5 linked regions of the Danio rerio genome follow. The protein of the gene in region 4 purifies or fractionates together with the protein of the main gene of each other region. This does not show direct contact. Links are inferred from orthologs where the notes say so. Each region holds a gene or a part of one and is shown on either strand. Other genes may lie near its edges.

Evidence for each region. Proteins that work in one complex are often made in the same cells at the same time.
Region 1: the proteins of top1a (region 4) and parp1 purify together in Homo sapiens (affinity purification with mass spectrometry; 4 studies listed by BioGRID and IntAct, with this or other methods). This does not show direct contact. The link is inferred for Danio rerio from reciprocal best matches to the Homo sapiens genes TOP1 and PARP1.
Region 2: the proteins of top1a (region 4) and supt16h fractionate together in Homo sapiens (co-fractionation; 3 studies listed by BioGRID and IntAct, with this or other methods). This does not show direct contact. The link is inferred for Danio rerio from reciprocal best matches to the Homo sapiens genes TOP1 and SUPT16H.
Region 3: the proteins of top1a (region 4) and cdkn2a/b purify together in Homo sapiens (affinity purification with western blotting; 3 studies listed by BioGRID). This does not show direct contact. The link is inferred for Danio rerio from reciprocal best matches to the Homo sapiens genes TOP1 and CDKN2A.
Region 5: the proteins of top1a (region 4) and eftud2 purify together in Homo sapiens (affinity purification with mass spectrometry; 3 studies listed by BioGRID and IntAct, with this or other methods). This does not show direct contact. The link is inferred for Danio rerio from reciprocal best matches to the Homo sapiens genes TOP1 and EFTUD2.

What each region holds. Positions count from the first base shown.
Region 1 is NC_133195.1:46,952,218-46,956,444, reverse strand, and holds the start of parp1 (poly [ADP-ribose] polymerase 1), read right to left. Parts: upstream 2,801-4,227; 5' UTR 2,781-2,800; coding exon 2,658-2,780; intron 1-2,657. UniProt on the Homo sapiens protein: Poly-ADP-ribosyltransferase that mediates poly-ADP-ribosylation of proteins and plays a key role in DNA repair.
Region 2 is NC_133182.1:2,044,131-2,048,125, forward strand, and holds the start of supt16h (FACT complex subunit SPT16), read left to right. Parts: upstream 1-1,195; 5' UTR 1,196-1,469; coding exon 1,470-1,535; intron 1,536-3,995. UniProt on the Homo sapiens protein: Component of the FACT complex, a general chromatin factor that acts to reorganize nucleosomes. The FACT complex is involved in multiple processes that require DNA as a template such as mRNA elongation, DNA replication and DNA repair.
Region 3 is NC_133176.1:27,776,115-27,780,040, reverse strand, and holds the start of cdkn2a/b (cyclin-dependent kinase inhibitor 2A), read left to right. Parts: upstream 1-1,126; 5' UTR 1,127-1,388; coding exon 1,389-1,514; intron 1,515-3,172; coding exon 3,173-3,424; 3' UTR 3,425-3,926. UniProt on the Homo sapiens protein: Acts as a negative regulator of the proliferation of normal cells by interacting strongly with CDK4 and CDK6. This inhibits their ability to interact with cyclins D and to phosphorylate the retinoblastoma protein.
Region 4 is NC_133186.1:27,381,084-27,385,118, forward strand, and holds the end of top1a (DNA topoisomerase I, like), read left to right. Parts: intron 1-1,327; coding exon 1,328-1,430; 3' UTR 1,431-2,831; downstream 2,832-4,035. UniProt on the Homo sapiens protein: Releases the supercoiling and torsional tension of DNA introduced during the DNA replication and transcription by transiently cleaving and rejoining one strand of the DNA duplex.
Region 5 is NC_133178.1:15,084,021-15,088,305, reverse strand, and holds the start of eftud2 (116 kDa U5 small nuclear ribonucleoprotein component), read left to right. Parts: upstream 1-1,485; 5' UTR 1,486-1,765; intron 1,766-1,793; exon of another isoform or gene 1,794-1,845; intron 1,846-3,836; 5' UTR 3,837-3,847; coding exon 3,848-3,949; intron 3,950-4,285. UniProt on the Homo sapiens protein: Required for pre-mRNA splicing as component of the spliceosome, including pre-catalytic, catalytic and post-catalytic spliceosomal complexes. Component of the U5 snRNP and the U4/U6-U5 tri-snRNP complex, a building block of the spliceosome.

The DNA.
Region 1 (4,227 bases), on a different chromosome or scaffold from region 4:
CTAAGTATGAACAGCACTTAGCAGTGAAAATGAAAGCGTGCACATCATTTAAATAATCATATCGCATTTTACAGCAATGATTACAATATCTATCCATCCATCCATCCATCTATCCATCCATCAATCCATCCATCCATCCATCCATCTATCTATCTATCTATCTATCTATCTATCTATCTATCTATCTATCTATCTATCTATCTATCTATCTATCTATCTATCCATCCATCCATCCATCCATCCATCTATCCATCTATCTATCTATCTATCTATCTATCTATCTATCTATCTTCTTTTGTGCTCAACAGAACAATTTAAAGGTTTGGAACAATTAAAGGCAGAGTAAATAAGACAATTTTAATTTTGGGGTGAACTATCCCCTTTAATGGTGCAGAAATATTGTACAAATGTAAACAATACATTAATAAATCGTCAAACAAGTCAAATAGTAAGACATTCAGAAGAAAAAAAAAAGATTTGCACTGAAAAATAAACAGGACTTACTCAATTTGAACAATTTTGGTCCCACTTTTTTTTCAACTACTATGTACTTACATGAAAAAATAAATACAATGCACTTAATGTGTTCATGATGTATTGCTGAACACTTCTGGTCCTCCTGAGGTGGAATATGGGTAGGTTTAGGGACTGGATTGGTGGCGTCTTTATGGTTTAAGGTATAAGCAATGATTAACAGTGAAATAACAAACGAACTTACAGATGTATTTACATGCAGGTATTTAACCAAGCATAAGTATCATGTAAAAACACATATTTACACAAGAAGTACATTGTAATGAATTATTAATTTCAGTGCGAGTACATTTTAGTTAAGGTTGCTTAATCTAAAGTGGGACCCACATTTTTACTGGTCTTCATTGTATTAAATTAGTGTAGCTTTGTTTCATTAAATGTTTTCTCAAATGAAACACGTTTCCAGCGAAATTGTCCAAATCACACCGCTGTTTTGAGCTAATGTTCATAGGAAATCACTGCTGACCTGCTTCACTCAGTCAAGTATGTTAGTTTGTTTATTTAATTTTTTAGCAAAAGCACTCTTAAACATTAAACATTAATTAGGTGAAAGTAAATAAAAGTGTTTTTTGCACATACAGGGCTTACAAAATCTGGGGCTATTGTTTTTTCATTCGGGCTACCAAAAAGCCTGGTGGGTTATCTAGGTACCAGACTTTGCAAGCCCTGACATATTACAATCTATGGCTTATAATGAATCTATAAAATAAGGCAATGAGTAATAAGAAATTCAGAAATAAATTGACTTGCATAAAAAATAAACAGAATTTAGTCAGTTTAAACATTTTACTGAGATTAATTACAATGATATGATGCAGCTTTGTTTATTTTCTTGATGTATTCTCAAATTAAACTGGTTTTCAGCAAATCTTGTGCAAATCACAGTTATTTTAAGCTAATATTCATAGAAAAGCACTGCTAATCTACTTTAAGTATGGACGTTTACTTAAAAAAAGTACACCTAATCATTAAACATTAATTAGCTGAAAGTGTAGCCTAGTAAATAAAAGTGGTTTTAGCACATATTACTATCTATATAGCTGCATAATAAATCAATAATAAGGCAATGAGTAATGATGAATTCAGAAAATTAATAAGACTTAAATTGAAAATAAACATGATATAGACAATTAAAAATAATAATGAGCTTCATTGCATTGAAATAGTGCAGCTTTGATTATTTTCTTAATGTATTCTCAAATTAAACTGGATTCCAGAAAATCACACAGCTATATTTAGGCTAATATTCATAGGAAATCACTGCTGATCTACTTTAAGTATGGTAGTTACATTTATTTTTAAAAGTACATTTAAATAATTCAACATTAATTAGCTGAAAGTGTACCCTAGTAAATAAATGCGGTTTTAGGAAATATTACGATCTATATAGCTGCATAATAAATCAATAATAAGGTGGCGAGTAATGATGAATTCAGAAATAAATATACTTGTATTGAAAATAAACAGGTTTTAGTCAATTTAAACATTTTACTGAGCTTTATTGCATTGAAATAGTGCAGCTTTATTTATTTCCTTAATGTTTTCTCAAATTAAACTGGTTTCCAGCTAATACTGTGCTAATTACACAGCTATATTAAAGCTAATATTCATAGGAAAACACTGCTTATTATTTGATAACAGAGGACCATTTAAAGGGATAGTTCACCCAAAAATGAAAATGCTGTCATCATTAGCTCATTCTTCACCTGTTACAAACCTATTAGAGATTCTTTCTCCAGTAAACACAAAAGAAGACAGTTGGGAAAAAGCTGAAAACCTGTAACCATTGACTTCTATAGTATTTTTCTACAATGGAAGTGAATGGGTACAGGTTTTCAGCTTCCTTCAAAATATCTCCTTATGTATTCAACAGAAAACAACAAACTCATAAAAATTTAAAACCATTTGGGGGTGAGCAAATTTAAAATGTTTAGGTGAACTATCCCTTTAAACTCATCTTGGGCCTTAGAAACCTGTTCATTCATTTGTGTACGTACACTTACTATACATTTCGCCACGCATACCTGCACAACCAAACGCATTTCCACCAAATATAGAATTTTAAGGATGTTTCTGAAGCAGAGCTAATTCCAAAAAGTTGCACACAACAATAATTCCCTCACCTGCACCATGATGGCCATCCTCAGCGAGTCCTTAGCAATGTTGTCTTTGCATTTCTTGCATGAGGCGCGTCCGCTTTTTGCATATTCGGCTTTGTACAGCTTGTCGTCCTGTGAGTCGGCCATCTCTGCAGATATTTCTGTTAAAAGGAGAAGTTTGCAGACTAATTCTAGTCAGACAGGCCGACAACTCACGTTACAGCGCAATGAGGAATAGCGCGCAGTCAGTCCGCGTGCAGAAGCACCCGCGCAGAATACCAGCCCAAACCAATCGAGCCCACATTCCTCTAGTAGTGGAGAATATGCGCAGACAAAGCTAATCGAACTCAAAGCTCCTCAACACTGAAGAAAAATCTTTTAAGTAGGCAGGGGCGCAATTGCAAATTTACTTAAAGGTATGCGGGTTCAAGTTGGGGTGGTATAATAAAATTAATAATAATAATAATAATACCTTTTATTTTTAGGCGCCATTTGATTTGATTTTGATTTTATGCGCCTTTAGGCAGTATGATTTTCTTTATCTAATAAAATACAATATTATCATGTAATTTAAACGCAAAATAAACATTCTTAACAAAAAATATTTATTTATTTTGATTAATAAAAACTTTAAGTATTAATAATTTCAAAAATAGTTTTGGCACACCCCCGCTCCCCCCATGTATGGCGCCCCTAAGCCCCGCATATAGTGCACACCCCTTTTTTGCGCCTCTGTAAGTAGGGCAAGAAAAAATCTGCGGACATTTTTTTAACTTTTTCTGCAAAGAATTTTGTTAAAAATCTGCGGATTTATGGAATAATTTTGGGAGTATCAAAACTAAAACCTTCATATATGAATTAAAAAATAATAGCTTTCTAACTTGTATTTAATGTTTACAATGCAAATTCAATTTGATCCACTTTATTTGGTAAACAAAGCAAGTGTCTCATATAATATCTCTACTAAAAGACAGAAAATAATACTTTACAAACTGTACTGTAAATAAATCATACGAATATTTTCACATTAGCCAATAATTATCCTAAAATGAATTTACAAACTGAATAAATATACATTTTAAAACATTTACACAAGTAAATAAACAGAATCAATGATGGTCTAAAATTATGTGGAATTCTGCGTGTGCAGATTCCGCGTTGGCCTAGTTATATGTTTTGTGTCATATGTTTACACAGTGCTCAGCATAATTGTGAATACACCCCATTTAGAAAATGAATATTTTACCCATTTATCAAGAAATATAGGTAATATATTTTGGTGCATTTGAACAAAACAGATGAAACAGATATATTTAATAAAATAATATTTTAGTCACTAAACATCTTTAGAAATAGAAAGAAAAAATATGCTTCAATTATTGCGAAATATTGGGGGAAAATTACAAACTACAAAATTTCACAAAATTTTATACATTTTTTTGTTTCTCTTGGATTTTGCTCTTTGAAAAATTATTTAATATTTTCCCTAACTTATACATTTGGACTACAAATTTAGTTATATAAGCTCCAGATTTGGCTTCAGTCCAGACTAATTTAATGTATATGCACAAATATAAAATATCGTCAAGCTTCC
Region 2 (3,995 bases), on a different chromosome or scaffold from region 4:
TTATTATTTAAATGTTAAAATAAAATGTAATTTATTATTTTTCATGTTAAAATTAATTTTAATTTATCATTTAAATGTTAAAATAAAATGCAATTTATTATTTAAATGTTACTATAAAATGTAATTTATTATTTAAATGATAAAATAAAATTGTATTTATTATTTAAATGTTACAATAAAATGTAATTTATTGTTTAAATGATAAAATAAAATTTTATTTATTATTTAAATTTTACAATAAAATGTAATTTATTGTTTAAATGATAAAATAAAATTTTATTTATTATTTAAATTTTACAATAAAATGTAATTTATTGTTTAAATGATAAAATAAAATTGTATTTATTATTTAAATGTTAAAATAAAATGAAATTTATTATTTAAATGTTAAAATAAAATTTTATATATTATTTAAATGTTAGAATTAATTTAAATGTATTATTTAAATGTTTAAAAAAACTAATGGAATATTTCAATAATCATCTAATTGTTATTTTGTTACCCACTTATTTTTTCCCAAAAAAACCCCACAGAGAAATATAATGGAGACTGTAAATAATTCAGCGCTCTCCTCACTCTGCTTCAAGCGCGCCAAACCCACGTGCTCTGCTGGAGTTCGCGCGCTTTTAAGTGACACTAGATGGCGGGAAAGAAGCCGTGCGCGTGAACGTCAAGAACGCGATGAGGTTCCCTCCAGGGCGGGGATTTCAAGACAGAGCTCATCACGTGACCACATTAACGTAGATTTTATTGGACGTATCCTACATGACGTCACTGCCAGGGCGGGAGTTTTCCGTGAGGGAGGGAAACGCAGGAAAACAAAAGCGTAATAAACACCGCACATGCGATTAAAATCCAACCTACATGCGGATATAGTTACTAAACAAGCACAGATGCCCGTCTCGTGTGTAGCTTGAGCTCAGCATTTTGAACTTTTTGGATGATCACGATGTTTAGCACATAATAACAATTGAACATTTGTAAACAGTCACAAAATGGCAGCATAATTAAATAAATATATGCATTTATAATTGAAATAAATAAATAATAATTAAATGGACAGCCTACAAGTTTGTGAAGTAAGCTAGATGTGCTCAAAATGAACGCGTGTTTTAATAAATGGAAATAAATGTTAAAGGGACGCGTATATATGAGAGGGGGCGGGGCTTCAGCGGACGCACATGCGTGATTATTCACTGCATTCACAGCGCGAAAGAGACCGACAGCACTTATAACGGCACTCAGGCATTTTAAACCGTAGTAACCGTCTTTTTAAAATTTGAATTTGAATATTTTTGAATTTGTCTCGCCGTCGTTATTTTTCTGAGCGTGTATCGAGTGTGTCGTGCTGTGAAGAACAGAAACAGTAGAGTGAAAGTGTGTATAAGTGTGTGTGAGTGAGTGAGAGTGTGTGTGTGTGTGCGTGCGCGCGCGCTGCTGGACTTCAGTGTGTGTGTTGATGTGATATTATGGCGGTGAGTCTGGATAAAGACGCTTTTTACCGCCGCATCAAGCGACTCTACGGCAACTGGAAGGTACGGAGAGCTCAGTGTGTGTCATAAACACCACAACATCTGATTATTGATCATATTCGATCATATTTATCCATATCTGATGTGTTTATGTGCGTCTTTGATGCTGAAATCCTCTCTCACACACATCTCAGGCCTCAGCTCTACAGAACTGTTAACGTTATATAAACACACTCCGCCGGTTGAGTTCGTGTTTTAGTGTTTATGGTGTGATTTCTGTTCGTTTATTAAGAAATAACTCAACTTTGCTGTTATTTTGAACGTTCATGTGTTGATTAGCGCAGCGGCTAACTGGTTAGCATGCTAGCATGTAATGCTTCCAGTTTTCACGTAATTTCCGCCTCATAATAAATCTCGTGTGTAGCATAAACACACGTTAAACACACAGACAGTGTGTTTCGTTCATGTTCTTGTATTGGTTTATGGCTGGTGTGTTTTTCGAGGATGCAGAAGTTGTGTGAGATGTAGCATGTAAGCTAGCTTAGCTCGTACTAAGACATGCTGCAGGTGGGAAACAGAACTGTTAGCATCAACTTAAGTGTTACTTTGTTGTAAACTTGAGTCTAAATTGTGTTTAAAGGGTCTGATGACTCGTTTCCTGAAGAAAATTATTGTGCTTTATGCTTATTGTTTTACATATGAAGGGTTTAGATGCAAAAACCTATCAAAGACATCTGATATTTTCTTCTAAAATGACCATTTTTCTCCAACTCCTGTGTTTAGGCTAGGTAATTTTACTTTAATAGTGACAAATAAGTTATTAACATTGCCTTTAAAGTGAAAAAAACTGAACATAAACAAGAGGCTGAAATAAATGTTCAGTTTAGGAGAACATCTCAGATAGCTTTGAGGTTTTTGCATCTGAACTCTTCATATATTCTATAATCACTTCGCTATAATATGATACCCTGGACCACAAAACCAGTCAGAACTGTGTGGTTAAGTTAACTGAGATGTAAACATGATCTGAAAGCTGAACAAAGCTGCCTGGTAATGTGTGGTTTGTTAGAAAATATACAAAATATAGCACTTCTGATGCGCAACCATTGAAAAATCTGAATAGAGGTGAAGTTGGTTTTATATTGGGATATTCAGACATTCTCCTTAATATAATTTCAGGAAAGTGTTTTTTGCAAATTTTAAATAGGGAAATCATATTAGCAGCAAATTAATATCAAAGTGCAACACTGTTTACAGTCAATTAGATAGTGTTACTGTTATTTTGAAGTCATACTTGCATGCTAATTCCAATCGAATATTCAAAGTAACAGGGAAAACAATATAGAGACTTCTAAATGAATGAATGTGTGAACCAACTTTACCTCTATGAAATTTGAGGGATCAAGTACAGGGTTTCATAGAGGTAAGGTAGTTTTTTTATATTCACACATTCGTTCATTTAGCAGTCTCTATATTGTTTATTATGTTAATTTAAACATTCGATCAGAATTAGCATGCAAGTATGACTTCTAAACAACATTAACACCGTCTAATTGACTGTAAACAGTGTTGTACTTTGATAGTCTTTGGTCGCTTGTATTATTTCTTTATTTAGAATTAGCAAAGAATACTTTTCTGAAAATTATATTATTAAGAAGAATGTCTGAATATCTGAATATAAAACTAACTGCACTTCTATCAGGGTTTCTGAGAGGTCTAAAAGTCTTCAAATGTCTTAAATATCAAAATCCAGATTTTAATCTTTGAAGTCTTAAATTTACTACAATATTGTGTTGTAGGTCTTAAATTATTTTTTTTTTAAACAGGTCTAAATTTCCTTTGTTCAACTATTGCTGCTCAATCTGGCCCAAACCCATACATTCACCAACAATCATCTCAATATAACTTTAAACTTTATTTAAAAGGTAATTTTTGAAACTTTATCATAATGGTTTAGTTACTTTCCTTACAATAACATGTTTAAATGTTCTCCTGAGTACACCGACCTGGACAGACTGTTGCCAATGGATTTTGTTTATTATAGTTTTCAAACCGTTTGTTCATTTTTTTATTTTAAAGAAATATTATGTTCGGGGAAAAAAAAGTGTATGGAGACAAGCAGAGCTTGCTTGTTTTTACACAATATTTAAAACATTTAGCTAAGAAATAAAATCTAAAGTATATAAATTGTTTATTATTACTGTATTATTAAATGTATTAAATTGTAATAAATGTTTTTGATAGGTCAAATAATTTTTTTTTTTCCATCTGGGCCATTTGAAAAATTCCTTAGCCTTTAGCCCTTTGTAAGTCTAAAATTTCATTCATAATGGTCTTAAAAATATCTCAGTCTTAAATTTAATATACCACTTCTGATGTGCAACTTTTGAAAATCTGATATCTGAGGCATCGACTACAGAGTTTCTGCGAGGTCTTCAAATGTCTTATATCTCAAAATCCAGATTTTAGGCTTTTTTAATATTTTTGATGGGTCAAATAAAAATATTTTCCACCTGGGCCATT
Region 3 (3,926 bases), on a different chromosome or scaffold from region 4:
TTTAGTTACATAGTTCAACTATTCTATTTCTACATGTTGTTTAATATCTATTCAACAAAACTAAGTAAAATAATTCATTTTTAATCGTTGCTTCTATGACATTTAAATTAAATTTTCTATTATTAACACTTAGCCAGTGGGGCTTTGCCAACTATTTTTTTTCTTTAATATTGTACTGCGTTGGTTTGTTATGATTATTTTATTTACTATTTCATATTTTAGTATCTATTTTGCATGCACATTAACCAATATTATTAACATGTTAACAACATCAAAACATGAATAAGTTAGAAAATTAAATACAAAAGCACACTGTTCTTCATTTTAAACAGGTGCATCTCAGAATGTGATTTTTACTTTATGTAAATGATCTACACAGCCACAGGACCCTTTATCTTTTTACTTATTTTCAACGTATTAGAGAGGCAACAAACTCACTGCTAAAATTAAAAACTATTTGCTACAATTGTTTAATACCTTGTTTCTGGATACAGGCTATAGTTTAGCTACAGTCGTGTGATGGGGAAATAGCATTACAAAACTGTAAGTCAGACGATGTTTGGGCAAAATTATGGCCATTCGCGTCCTTTCTATCGTGCAGAAAATAGATTTATGTTCATCTACAATCAAAAACAGAACAACCATTATGAAAAAAATATAAATATAGGCTACCACGAATGTATGTATATGCTTTTTTGTTATAATTTATGTGGATCAAAAATATAGTTTAACTTAAGCGCCCCACACAGCATAATGGCTAAATAATATACTTTAAAGTAGCCAAGTCAAACTTAATCTCTACAGGCCTAGCTAACATCGCGTCTTAATCAAAATCCATAAAATAACTTTACTCTTGAAAAACGAGAGATTTTTCCTGGTAACGTTAGCCTATTCCCGAAGAGTAACTTCTCCATGGCACAAAACCCAATTATGTTAGCATAATTAGCGTTGTGATATGCTTATGTACCCGAAAAAAAGAATAAAAAAACTTCTTGTGATCTAAAAGCAGGCTAATGCCAGTTACATTAGCCATAAAACATTAGCAGAACCTAATTTCTGTTTCTCTGCAGCCTCTCCTACTGTGTCGTAAACTCATGTCTTCCTGACTCAGCTGTTGTGCGCAGGCGCAGTATGACAGTACTGCACCACGGTTTTGCTGTGACGTTTATGACAGAGACAAGTCCGAACAAATATCTCGCTACGAAAAATTATTTTAAGACACAACACTTTGATAAACGAGTCAGTTTCGCTTATTTACGCATTATATTGGAACATGTTATTCATGGAGACCGATAAAAATAAATTACAGCGTTGAACTGATTGTTTTCGCAGTATCATCATCATTTGGTTTTACCTGTGAAGCGAATTAATTTCGAAAATCAATAAAGATGATGAACGTCGAGGATGAACTGACCACAGCAGCAGCCACCGGAAACATTTCCCATGTTCAGTTTTTACTTTCTAACGGAGTGAATGCCAATGTGGTTAACAAATTTAGAAGAACGCCTATACAGGTAGGTTTAGACGCGCTTTAAGAATAAACAACGGAAATAAACAAATGCAAATAAATAAATAAGATTAATTGCAGATATGTAACATTAAATTAGTAACATACAATTCAAAGACTTATTTTGTATTAAAGGTCATATTATTTAACAAATTTAGGCTATTTCATATTTTCACACCTGTTTGACTATATGGGATTTACTTTTCTTTTTTTTTTTTAAATATTAGGCTATTTGTGTATTTATTTTACTCATTTTAGCATGTTTAAGAACCTTTTAGGCTACTTAAACGGCCTGAAACATGTTTACCAATAGCGTGTTATCAACCTATATAATACTAACAACACTTTCTATCTTTTAGTAATGTCATTAATTTTAACATTATAATTTTAACTTATAGCTACATTCTTAGAAATTAGTCCGAAATAAGACAAGGAGTTTTGGATGTATTGTCAAAGTTCAAATTATTCAAAGAAAACTAAAATCTTATTGAAAACGAAAGTCCCAATGTACTATAACTGTGTATAAAAACCAAATGTTTACAATTATATATAAGAGATAGATAGATAGATTTATATACATAACAATAAATAAATAAGACATTTTATAGATCTTAATTTCAGATAAATTTTAAACTATTAAATCATATCTCTATGTGCGAGAAGAATGGCACACTACTTGCTAATTCACTCCCGAAAGCTTTGTTGGCATCGATGGTTTTAAGAAGAACCTTTTGCATCTATGGAGAAAATTTTTGAAAAATGTGCCTTTAAACTATTAAAATGTTTATTTCATTTTTTGACAATAAAAATACTTCTTTTGGAAGCTTTGTAATAGGTTTTCTGTGCGGAACCAGAAGGGCATCACTGCGAAAACCCTTTTCCTCTTATTGCCATGCTTGTTTTTACGAATGTACGTTTAATATTTTGACATTTGTACAGTTGGCCTATATTGACCAAAATAATCAGCCACCACTAGCACAGTCATAGACTAATGGAGTATATATTTTAGACCATACTTATTTTTGCTTGTTTTTATAATCGTGTAGGCCTATTATTATAATATTTGGTGTGAAAGTTTTCATCTAATTTTCACAATGTCCAATGGTTTTACGGTTCATGCTCTCGGTTACGGGACATCAAAAGCCGAAGAGGTAGCCTACAATAAAGTGCGTATAGATATCTTTTAGCACACTTTAAACAGATGGACAGCATACATCCAGAAATCGTAAAAGATTAGGCAATTGTAAAACTTCTGACGAGCATGAATTGCCTCAGAAAAATGTCAATTAAACGAAAGATGTTTAAGAAAATCACAAATGTGAACAAAGCATATTTATGGCATACATTTTATTTAAAATGATTATAGGAATCTTCATAATTAATCATATGAAAAATAAGAATTAGCTACAACACAATTTGTTGCATTTAATTGATTTACTGCCCGTGAATAATTTATTGATAGGCTAAAAGAGTAATGCATCATGCACAGCAATGTTCAGTGCCAGCATGTGCACTGCTTTCGTTCCTATTTAACCAAAAAGTATCTACTTTCCAGATTTCGAGTGATGGCAGTAAAATTATTGATTAAACAAACTTCTTTACAGTGACATCATGACGTTACTGGCGTTTATTTTTTCATGAGACAGCAATTTTCCCCCTCTCCAGGTGATGATGATGGGTAACGCACCTTTGGCTCTTGTGCTGCTGGAACAGGGAGCGGACCCTAATGTGCCTGACCCCGACACAGGGAGCACACCTCTGCACGACGCTGCCAGAACCGGATTCATTGACACCGTGCGGCTTTTAATCCGCTTCGGCGCCGACCCCAATACAAAAGATCACTGCGATTTACGACCAGTGGATGTGGCACAACAGACTGGCAACGTAGACGTGGTTGAATTACTCAATCGTGTTTAAAATGTTTAAAGACTGCATCACTGCATAGCCTAGGCTACTTTAGGTGGTAACCTTATTAATGCACTCAAGTACTTATAATTCTCAATAGCACATGGTCATTCATGTAGTTTGGAGATTCTAATCATTTAAAATTTTATTTCTGTATCTTTTAAGTTTATTTATTATTATTATTTATTATTAGCTAGTCAATGGGAACTTCAATAAAAGGCTACAGACACAAACCATCATACGCTCATGCTAGCCTATAGTTCGCATAATAAAAAGTGTAGACAGCATTATGTCCAAAGATAAATAAATAATTAAATAACATATCCACCTATTTGTTTTTAACCTGAAAAGCATGGCGACAAACATTGAATCAAATGGCTTGCAACGCAAGGACATCCAATATTTTTGGCGAGCTCTTTCTTTTTTCATTTCTTCCGGTTAAACATGCTTTTATTAAGTTTATAATATTGTACGACTAATAAAAATGAAACTTTCTATTTATACCAAGGCATAA
Region 4 (4,035 bases):
ACTTTATTATTATTATTATTATTATTATATCTTCATTTTGGCTTTTAACCCCTACCACATACAGACATGCAATCATCAAAAGTCTTTGGTTCTTCACTTTAAAGCTGTAATGTTTAGTGCTTTAAATAATGAAATTTATCCCTTTTCTCTGTAATTTTTTTTTTGCTTAATAATAATAATAATAATAATAATAATATTTTTTAGGGCTGCAAAATATTCCGTTTCAGCATTGATGTTGCAATGTGATCATTCAATAGCCACATCGCAAGTATGTTGAGTCTGGATTATAATTGATCGTTTTGCCTTGTTTTTTGATGCCTGTGACTGAGGGGTTTAAAAGCATTTAGGCATAAGAAATTGTAACGTTTGTGTCTTTGACAAATTTACAACGATTGAATTTATGGAATTCTTTATAAAACGTAGACTATGCAGTATTAATTTACATTTGATTATTCAGTTATTGTACACCTGAATACAGTTTAACAACTCTTAAAAAATAAACACTATTAGTATCTTTTTTTATTTTTATTGTTAGTATCTGTGCTCGTAGATTTCATTATATTTTATGCACTTTCCCACAGAATCATCCCAATCAATCATATTTATTCAGCTCATATAGTGAATTTTTAATTATGTTGCAATAGATACGACCGAATAAAAAAAAAAAAAATCATTTTCATTTGTTGTTGTTGTTGTTGTTGTTGTTATTATGACTTTTGACTTATCAGAGAATTCATCAAAACCACACCAAGTTTAATAAACAATTGGCGTCTATTCTTTGTCTGAACTCTTGTCTTTGGCATTAGTTTTCAAACTGAATCTCCATCAGTCTCACCTGTGCTTCTGGAGCTTTGACCACTTGACCCAAAGCTCAAATCTAACTGGGTCGCTCATTTCATCACACGCTGATGGGGGAACAAAATTGAAGCACCGGTCAAAAAGCCCAAAATGTTGCTTTGTGCTGTGATATGGTGAAGCCTGGTGTGAAAACCTCCATAGGGATCTGTTGTTTTGATTGAAGAGCATGCTTGCGTCGCAGTGTGAAAGGGCTTTAAGAGGTGCAACAACAGTTTGGACTGAATGTGAAGAGTTCAGAAGCCATGACAAGTGCACTGCTATCTGAAAGTTTTCTTCTGAAATGAGCATTTCCTCCTATGTTTGTTCAGTTAATTTACTTTAAGGCAATGAAAAGAATCTATTCGTTGTTATTAAGATATAATTACTGAAGCTGCATGCAGGAGCCCGAGAGGAGAATTTCACTCTGCTTCATGTGTAGGTGAAATGATGCAGACCATCAATTAAAAATGTTTCATGTCCGTCTTTCCAGGTGTAAGAAGTTCGGCATCCCGATAGAGAAGATCTACAACAAAACTCAGCGTGAGAAATTTGCCTGGGCGATTGACATGGCTGAAAAAGACTATGAATTTTAAATCTTGTTTGAGATTTTACTTCTCCCTCCACCCACATCCTTTTTATGTTGTTTTAATAGATACTTTTAGTCAGTGATTTCCAGCAGGTTGAGAACCTGACGAGGGAAAAGATGTGAAGCGAGCGTAGTGTCCAGAGGAGACCTGAATGTCATGATTTCAGTGACGGGCTTTTGTGTTTCTCTCTTCGTTGATCAGTTGTGTTTTTATTTTAGGCTTTGACATGTAATCTTGTAGGTTTTATCAGGTCGTTCTTTTGAGAATGAAGTACACAAGGTTGCATGGTCCTCAAGCCAGAAACTGGAGAATCAGCGGCTCAACCTTTTTGAACACTTGTACTGTTTGTCTGTCCGTCTCCCCCCTCGGGGCTCTGGACAAACGGAGCCCGGGGATGTCACAGGGGGGAAAAAAACAAAACGTTGAACTTGCGTGGTCCTCTAGCTACTGTATTCAACTACGACTCGCTTTGTGGATCCTTTCAGTTTTAGTTTTGCTGTATTTTTAGCCCTCCTGTATTAAAATAAATTCTATATTTTAATAGAAAAATCAAAGAATCGCTTAAGTACACCCACACGCCTTGTTAGGAGAGAAACGTGTACACCAGGTGTGATTATTTTCTGGGAAATATGACCATGAAGAGCTGTGTGTTTGAGTGAGTGTTACGTGAACTGTTCTCTTTCAAACTCTTGTATAAACGATATCCAGACCACAAAGTAAGATGCTTGGATGAGCTGCAGGGGATTACAGCTTCAATTATATTTCCTTAAACATGCAGAATGTGAATTCCTTTTCCTTTTTTTTTTTTTTTTTTTTTTTTTTTTTTTTTTACAGCTTCTATATCAGGGTCTTGTTTCCAGTGTAAATGTGAACCAATTATTTCCCCCCACACTTTTGTCTCCCGTATCCTACAGCTTTGAGTCTCAATCTGGGTTTAACTTAATGTGTAATGACTGTTTCCATAAGATAAAACATTAAAAAAAGAAAAAGATTACAAAAAAAAAAAAAAAAAAGCGAAGCTCCTGTATCTGTTACTTGAAGATTTCACTATTAGGATGTGTTATTTCAGGGTTTGGCGAAAGGGGTTTGTTTCAGATGGGTTATGTGAGGGAAATCAACTTTGCCAAAAACAGTCTGTTATGATTGAAGCTGTTTTATTTTGTAATTGTGTCAAGATTTTAAGAATAGACTTATTTTAACATGGACTTTTAACACTCTTCATTTTGTTTTCTTTTGATTTTTCTTTCCCCTCACTCCAGTATGAAATCAAATGTTGTTAGTGGCAGCCATGTAACCTTTTCCAACTTATCGAGCTCATGCCATAACCTCTGATCACGTTTTCTTTCTTTTTTTATTTTCTTTTTCCTCAAGTGTAGGTTATTTAAAAAATAAAATCCTACAACATAACCCTGTCATGTTGCTGTTGTTTTTGTTTGTTTCAGATGAAGAGCTTTCTTGGTCTTAGCTGTTTAGTCCAAACCTCAAAACAAACTAAAATCTTTCATATAATCCAGTATTGTTTTCTTTTTTTTATGGGCTGCATCTTGGACTGGAAAAAGCTTTCATTCATCCTATTTAAATAATTTAGGGTAATGGTTTCATGTCTAAATTTTAGCATTTGACCCAATGAAAGAAAATATTGTTTATGGCAACTTATTTATTTTTCACTGGGTCAAGTGATCAAATTGTAGATGTGAACCATTACCCTAAATTCTTCTTGTTGGATGAATAAACATTTTATAGGAAGAGTTGTTAAGATTAAAACTATAGATTCTTGATTAGAAGAGAATTGACTTTCTTTAACAAGACAAATATGCTTTGTTACCGTTTATAAAAATTTTTCATCATTGATATGAATAAGTTGCCTTAATCTTTTCTATCTGAATAAAAGCAATTTTTTATAAGCTGGCACAAAATGTATTTGTCTTGAAGAAAGTCTATTAATTAAAATTCTCTTCTAAACAAGGAGAAATAGCTTTAATCAAACTAACAATTCGCATTAAATGTTCATTCATCCTGTTAAAAAACGGAGGGCAATAGTTTCACATACAAATTTCATCACTTGAGCCGATGAAAAATAAATAATTTGCCTTGATATTTAAGTCCTTGAAAGTACAAAACATGCACATTTAAAAAATAAATAAATTGCTGCTTCTTTAAATACATAAAAATTAGTTGAAACAACAAAATTCTTAAGGTTTTTTTTTGGGACAACTTAATTGTTATGTTGATTTTACTTAAATTTCAATTCCAATTAAAGTTAACTTAATTTGTGTTTGGGCAACAAGAAGGATTCATGTGGAACCCAGCATTATTTTATTAACAGAATATTGAGTTTAATTTACATGCACTGGCCTGTACGAGTAGGTAAAATATAACATTGGTCAAAACAAATCTTTCTTAGTTGAGCTCTTAATCAGAAACATTTATATTTACGTTTGAACTTAAAGTACACTGAAGAAATAATGTCTGCAAAATTGTTGCAAACAAATTTGTAGAATTTAAACAAATGAAAATTTGTTAATGTTCAACAGACTTTGTTCAAAATCAGCCCAAATAAATTGTTTACAACCACTTGTTTTTTTAGCACGTCCAAGGACTCATCTTTGAG
Region 5 (4,285 bases), on a different chromosome or scaffold from region 4:
ATAATGAGATTCTTTCATATATAAAATCCCTTAAAGATCCTGAGGTGTGGAATCTGAAGCATCCATAATGCATCCACAAACATACAGTGAAAAAACAAATGATCTGTTGTTTCAATATCATCACAAAACACACATTTATTAGACTCAAATCCAAATCTAATTCCTAAATATTTACTTGACAGATTCATCCCACTTAAAACTTTAAAATGAACTTTTTTAGTTATTGGAGACAGAGGAAACTTTAAATATTTAAATATTTAATTTTAAGTACGTGAATGGTATCTTTTTAGATAATTTATGTGAAGTTGAGTTTTTTTTATAATTATTATTTTTTCCTTAATTATGTCTAAATAAGGAAATACTTTCTTACTCTACTCTTGTAACCCCAACTGTGCCTCGTGTGTTAACTGAAGTCTGTGATTTCAAAGAAAGAAATCTATGTAAAAACCAATGATTGGTAACAACATTTTATATCCTATAAAATGGATATAAAATGTTGTTACATAGATTTCTTTCTTTGAAATCACAGACTTCAATTAACACAGGAGGCACAGTTGGGGTTATAAGGGTAGAGTAAGAAAGTATTTCCTTAATTAGACAGACAAATGAGATAGAAATGGCTTTAAAGATTTAAACTTTACTGAATTAGAAATTATATTTAGTACAAACATTTTCATATGAAGTAATACCTTTATTGCTGTCAATTAATTGGGATACTGACAAATCTCTTTTCCCATCCATTCCTTGTCAAACAATGTTTTGTTTTTAATAGTGTTCACTTCATTTTATGACCATTTTCAGCCTACAGATATGCACCTTATTGTTGGAAGAAATTGTCTAGCTATAAAAAAAACTAGAATTAAAAATGTTTAACTGGTTTTGTTTTGATTTAGATTTTTTTATTCAGAGAGCTTATATTAGCTATAACAGAGTTTGGTTGTCTATTAGTAGGCTACATTTGCAAATTTTAAGTCTTATAAGTCTGTCAGTCACCCTACTTTTTGAGTACATACTTGAAAATGATACATGGTAGTAGCCTATGTATGTAGCTATAGTTTGTCAAGATAAATTCAGATCTAGATACTTTTTGTACTGAAAAACAAAAAAAGTTTTTTGTATAATAATTAAAGCTGTAAATCATACTTAAGATTACCCTTAAGTGTTTGAAGCCAATATCTATTTGAGCCACTTCATAGATATATATTCCATACATATATAATACACTCCATATGTGTGTGTATATATATATAATAAGATATCTATGGAGTCACTCAATGTTTATTTACGTTTTTGTTTTTACTCCAACATTAAAAAATAGTGGTCAAAATTTTAAAATTGATTTTTAAATATATGAAAACTTAAAAAAACATTTTTTTTAGTAAATCTTGGCTGACTGCGACATGTATTAGTAGCCTGTTTTTTTTTTTTCAAACAGGCAATATGCTTGGCGAACGCTGATGACGTCACCAACGTACGACCTACGTTGAGCTGTGCGAGGACCTCGCGGTGCATGGTTTGAAACAGTACGAGGGATCATTTTGTAACAATAAAATCACACCGGGATTAAAAACAAGACTCGCACACAGGTATAACACTGTTATAATACGCACTATATTTACGACGGAAATAATTATTTACACGAAGCAATTATTCATTCATTCGCTGTCGTACGTTTGCTGCGCGATCAGTTGCAATATCGGCTTTACTTGAGGCAGTTTCACAAGGGAATCTTTTATATTTATTGCGATTTTCAGTATGTTATGAGGTAATTTTATTCACTTTAATGTTTGCTGTGTTTATTGGGCTCTTAAAGATACATGTTCGACACTACAGCATTTTATTGAGGTAAAGTTTTTGCTCATTGACAACTTGTGTCACGTTCCCTTTGGTGTTTACATTGAGGTAAAGTTGGTTTTATATTCGGACTTTCCCTTTAATAATAGCTATAATTTAAAAAGATATGATTCTCTGCAAGTAGTGAACTCATATTAGCAGCCATAGACTTTCAAAGTACAACATTGTTCACAGAGTTAATAGAATTAAATTGTGCTAACGCTGTTTTGAAGTTAAACTTACTTTCTATTTCAGGCTGAATATTCAAAGTACAATATAGAGAAGGTATTAATTTAACGTTACCAGTTTCTATCCAAAACGCAAAACTAACTAGCACATTGGTTGGATGCAAATTAAGGTAAACTTGGTTATATTAGCACATTCATTCAGTGACAACTTGTGACATGTTTCTTATATTGTTTACAAGGCTACTTTCAATATTTGGTTTGAAATCACATACAAGTATGACTTCAAAACAACATTAGCACTGTTTGATTGACTGAACAATGTTGTACTTTCATAGTCACTGGCTGCTAATATGATTACCCCGTTTATAATTTGCAAAGAATACTTTTCTGAGATGATATTATCAATGAGAATGTGTGAATAGAAAACCAACTTTACCTCAATGTTACTTTTAATATTCAGTCTGAAATTGCTTCCAAGTATGAATTCAAAACTGTGAAGACTTTGACTGTGAGCAATGTTGTACTTTGATAGTCATCGGTAGCTAATATGAATTTCTTATTTAGAATTTGTAAAGAATACTTTACTGAAATTATATTATTAAGAAAAAAGTCTGAATGTTCGAATATTAAGATAAAAGTTTTAAGCAGAGTTTAATTAAGTTTAATTATTCAAAAACATTTACAGTGATTCGGACTATTAGGGAATAAACCTTAGTGTGTCACCTTTCAAAAGAGACCAAAACAATGCATAGTTACCTCATAGAATAAAATTGACTTCTAATGTATTTATCCCTTTTTCGTATAAAATAAAAAAAACAGATTTTTAAAAATACGGTTTCATTAAGCTGCAGTCTGGAGTAGGCATGAGACGATAACCATTTTTTAAGCTATACCGCGGTTTAGAAAAGTCAAGGTTTTAAAACCGTCAATTTTCTGCTATATTGTTCCTAGGGTATGAGTAAGATTTTTTAATTTACTTTTTTCTTAGTTTTTTTTTAGGACAGCAGAAAAGATATTCAAAGATTGCGTTTTAAATTTTTTACAAATCTGTATTTTTGAAACAAATGAAGGAAGCAGAAGTCAATAATTCATTTGAATTATTTAGCCTGACATGTTTACTGCTCCAAAATATTATGAATGTTTCCCAAATAAAATATATTGTGTACAAAGGGGAAAACGTTTTTATTTTTTTACCCAGACATTTAAAAGGAATATATTTCAGAGCAGTAATCGCAATACCTAAAACCGTGATATTTATATCCAAGATTATCATAGTATCAGAATCTTATACCAGCCCATGCCAAATCCGGGGTTTTAAAACATTTAACATCAAATAAATACTCTAAATATAGAAAAATCCTGCAATGTTTTAAACAAAAACCTTTATTTGTTTTTAGAAAGACACCCACAAATAAACTTTTTTTACAAGGGGTGAGTTAGTCAGCTAAAGTTAGTTGTAACATTTGTGATTTTTAAATATTTTAACAATCAATAATTTTACAATCGAATTTGTCACCTGACAAAGACCAATACTAAAAATGGTTAAAAATAGCATGCAATTTACTTTGGGTATGCATTTTGTTAGGCATTTAAGCAAATTTTACAGAAACGCTAAGAATTTAAACCAATTTTACCTCAATCAGCATTTTGTGCAGTAATACTAAAAGTGTTACAGTAACGTTTTTCCCAACACTAGAAAATAAAACAGACAGAATAATGAACCACTGCTGCATTTTAAATGAGTTGATCTGCATTCCGAATAGTTCCTCTGCACCAAAGTAAGTTATGTCATTTGTATCTGTTTTGTCCTATCAGAGCTCGTCGCCATGGAGACTGATCTTTATGACGAGTTTGGAAATTATATCGGACCAGAGCTGGACTCTGATGAGGATGAAGAGCTAGATGCAGAGGACCGGGATGCTGATGAGGTGATTGTATAACCTGTAATCATATTCAAACTGCCAAACCGTTGCTAGTTGGAGCATTTGTGCCATTTAAGTGCAGTTTCATTAACCCTATTACATTAACCCTTAATTGCCTGCTCAAATCGTTGACCAGCTTTTGACTTTTAAATAATGACTTTTAAAGTCATTTTAAGAATGACTGTTTTAATAATGGTTTACACGACACAGCATTGTTGGTTTATAAAATAATCAAACAAATGTAATCCTGTTTTGTTACTACACTCAATTTTGGTTTTATTGATATATATATACACACACACACACACACATATATACATACATATCTATATATATATATAT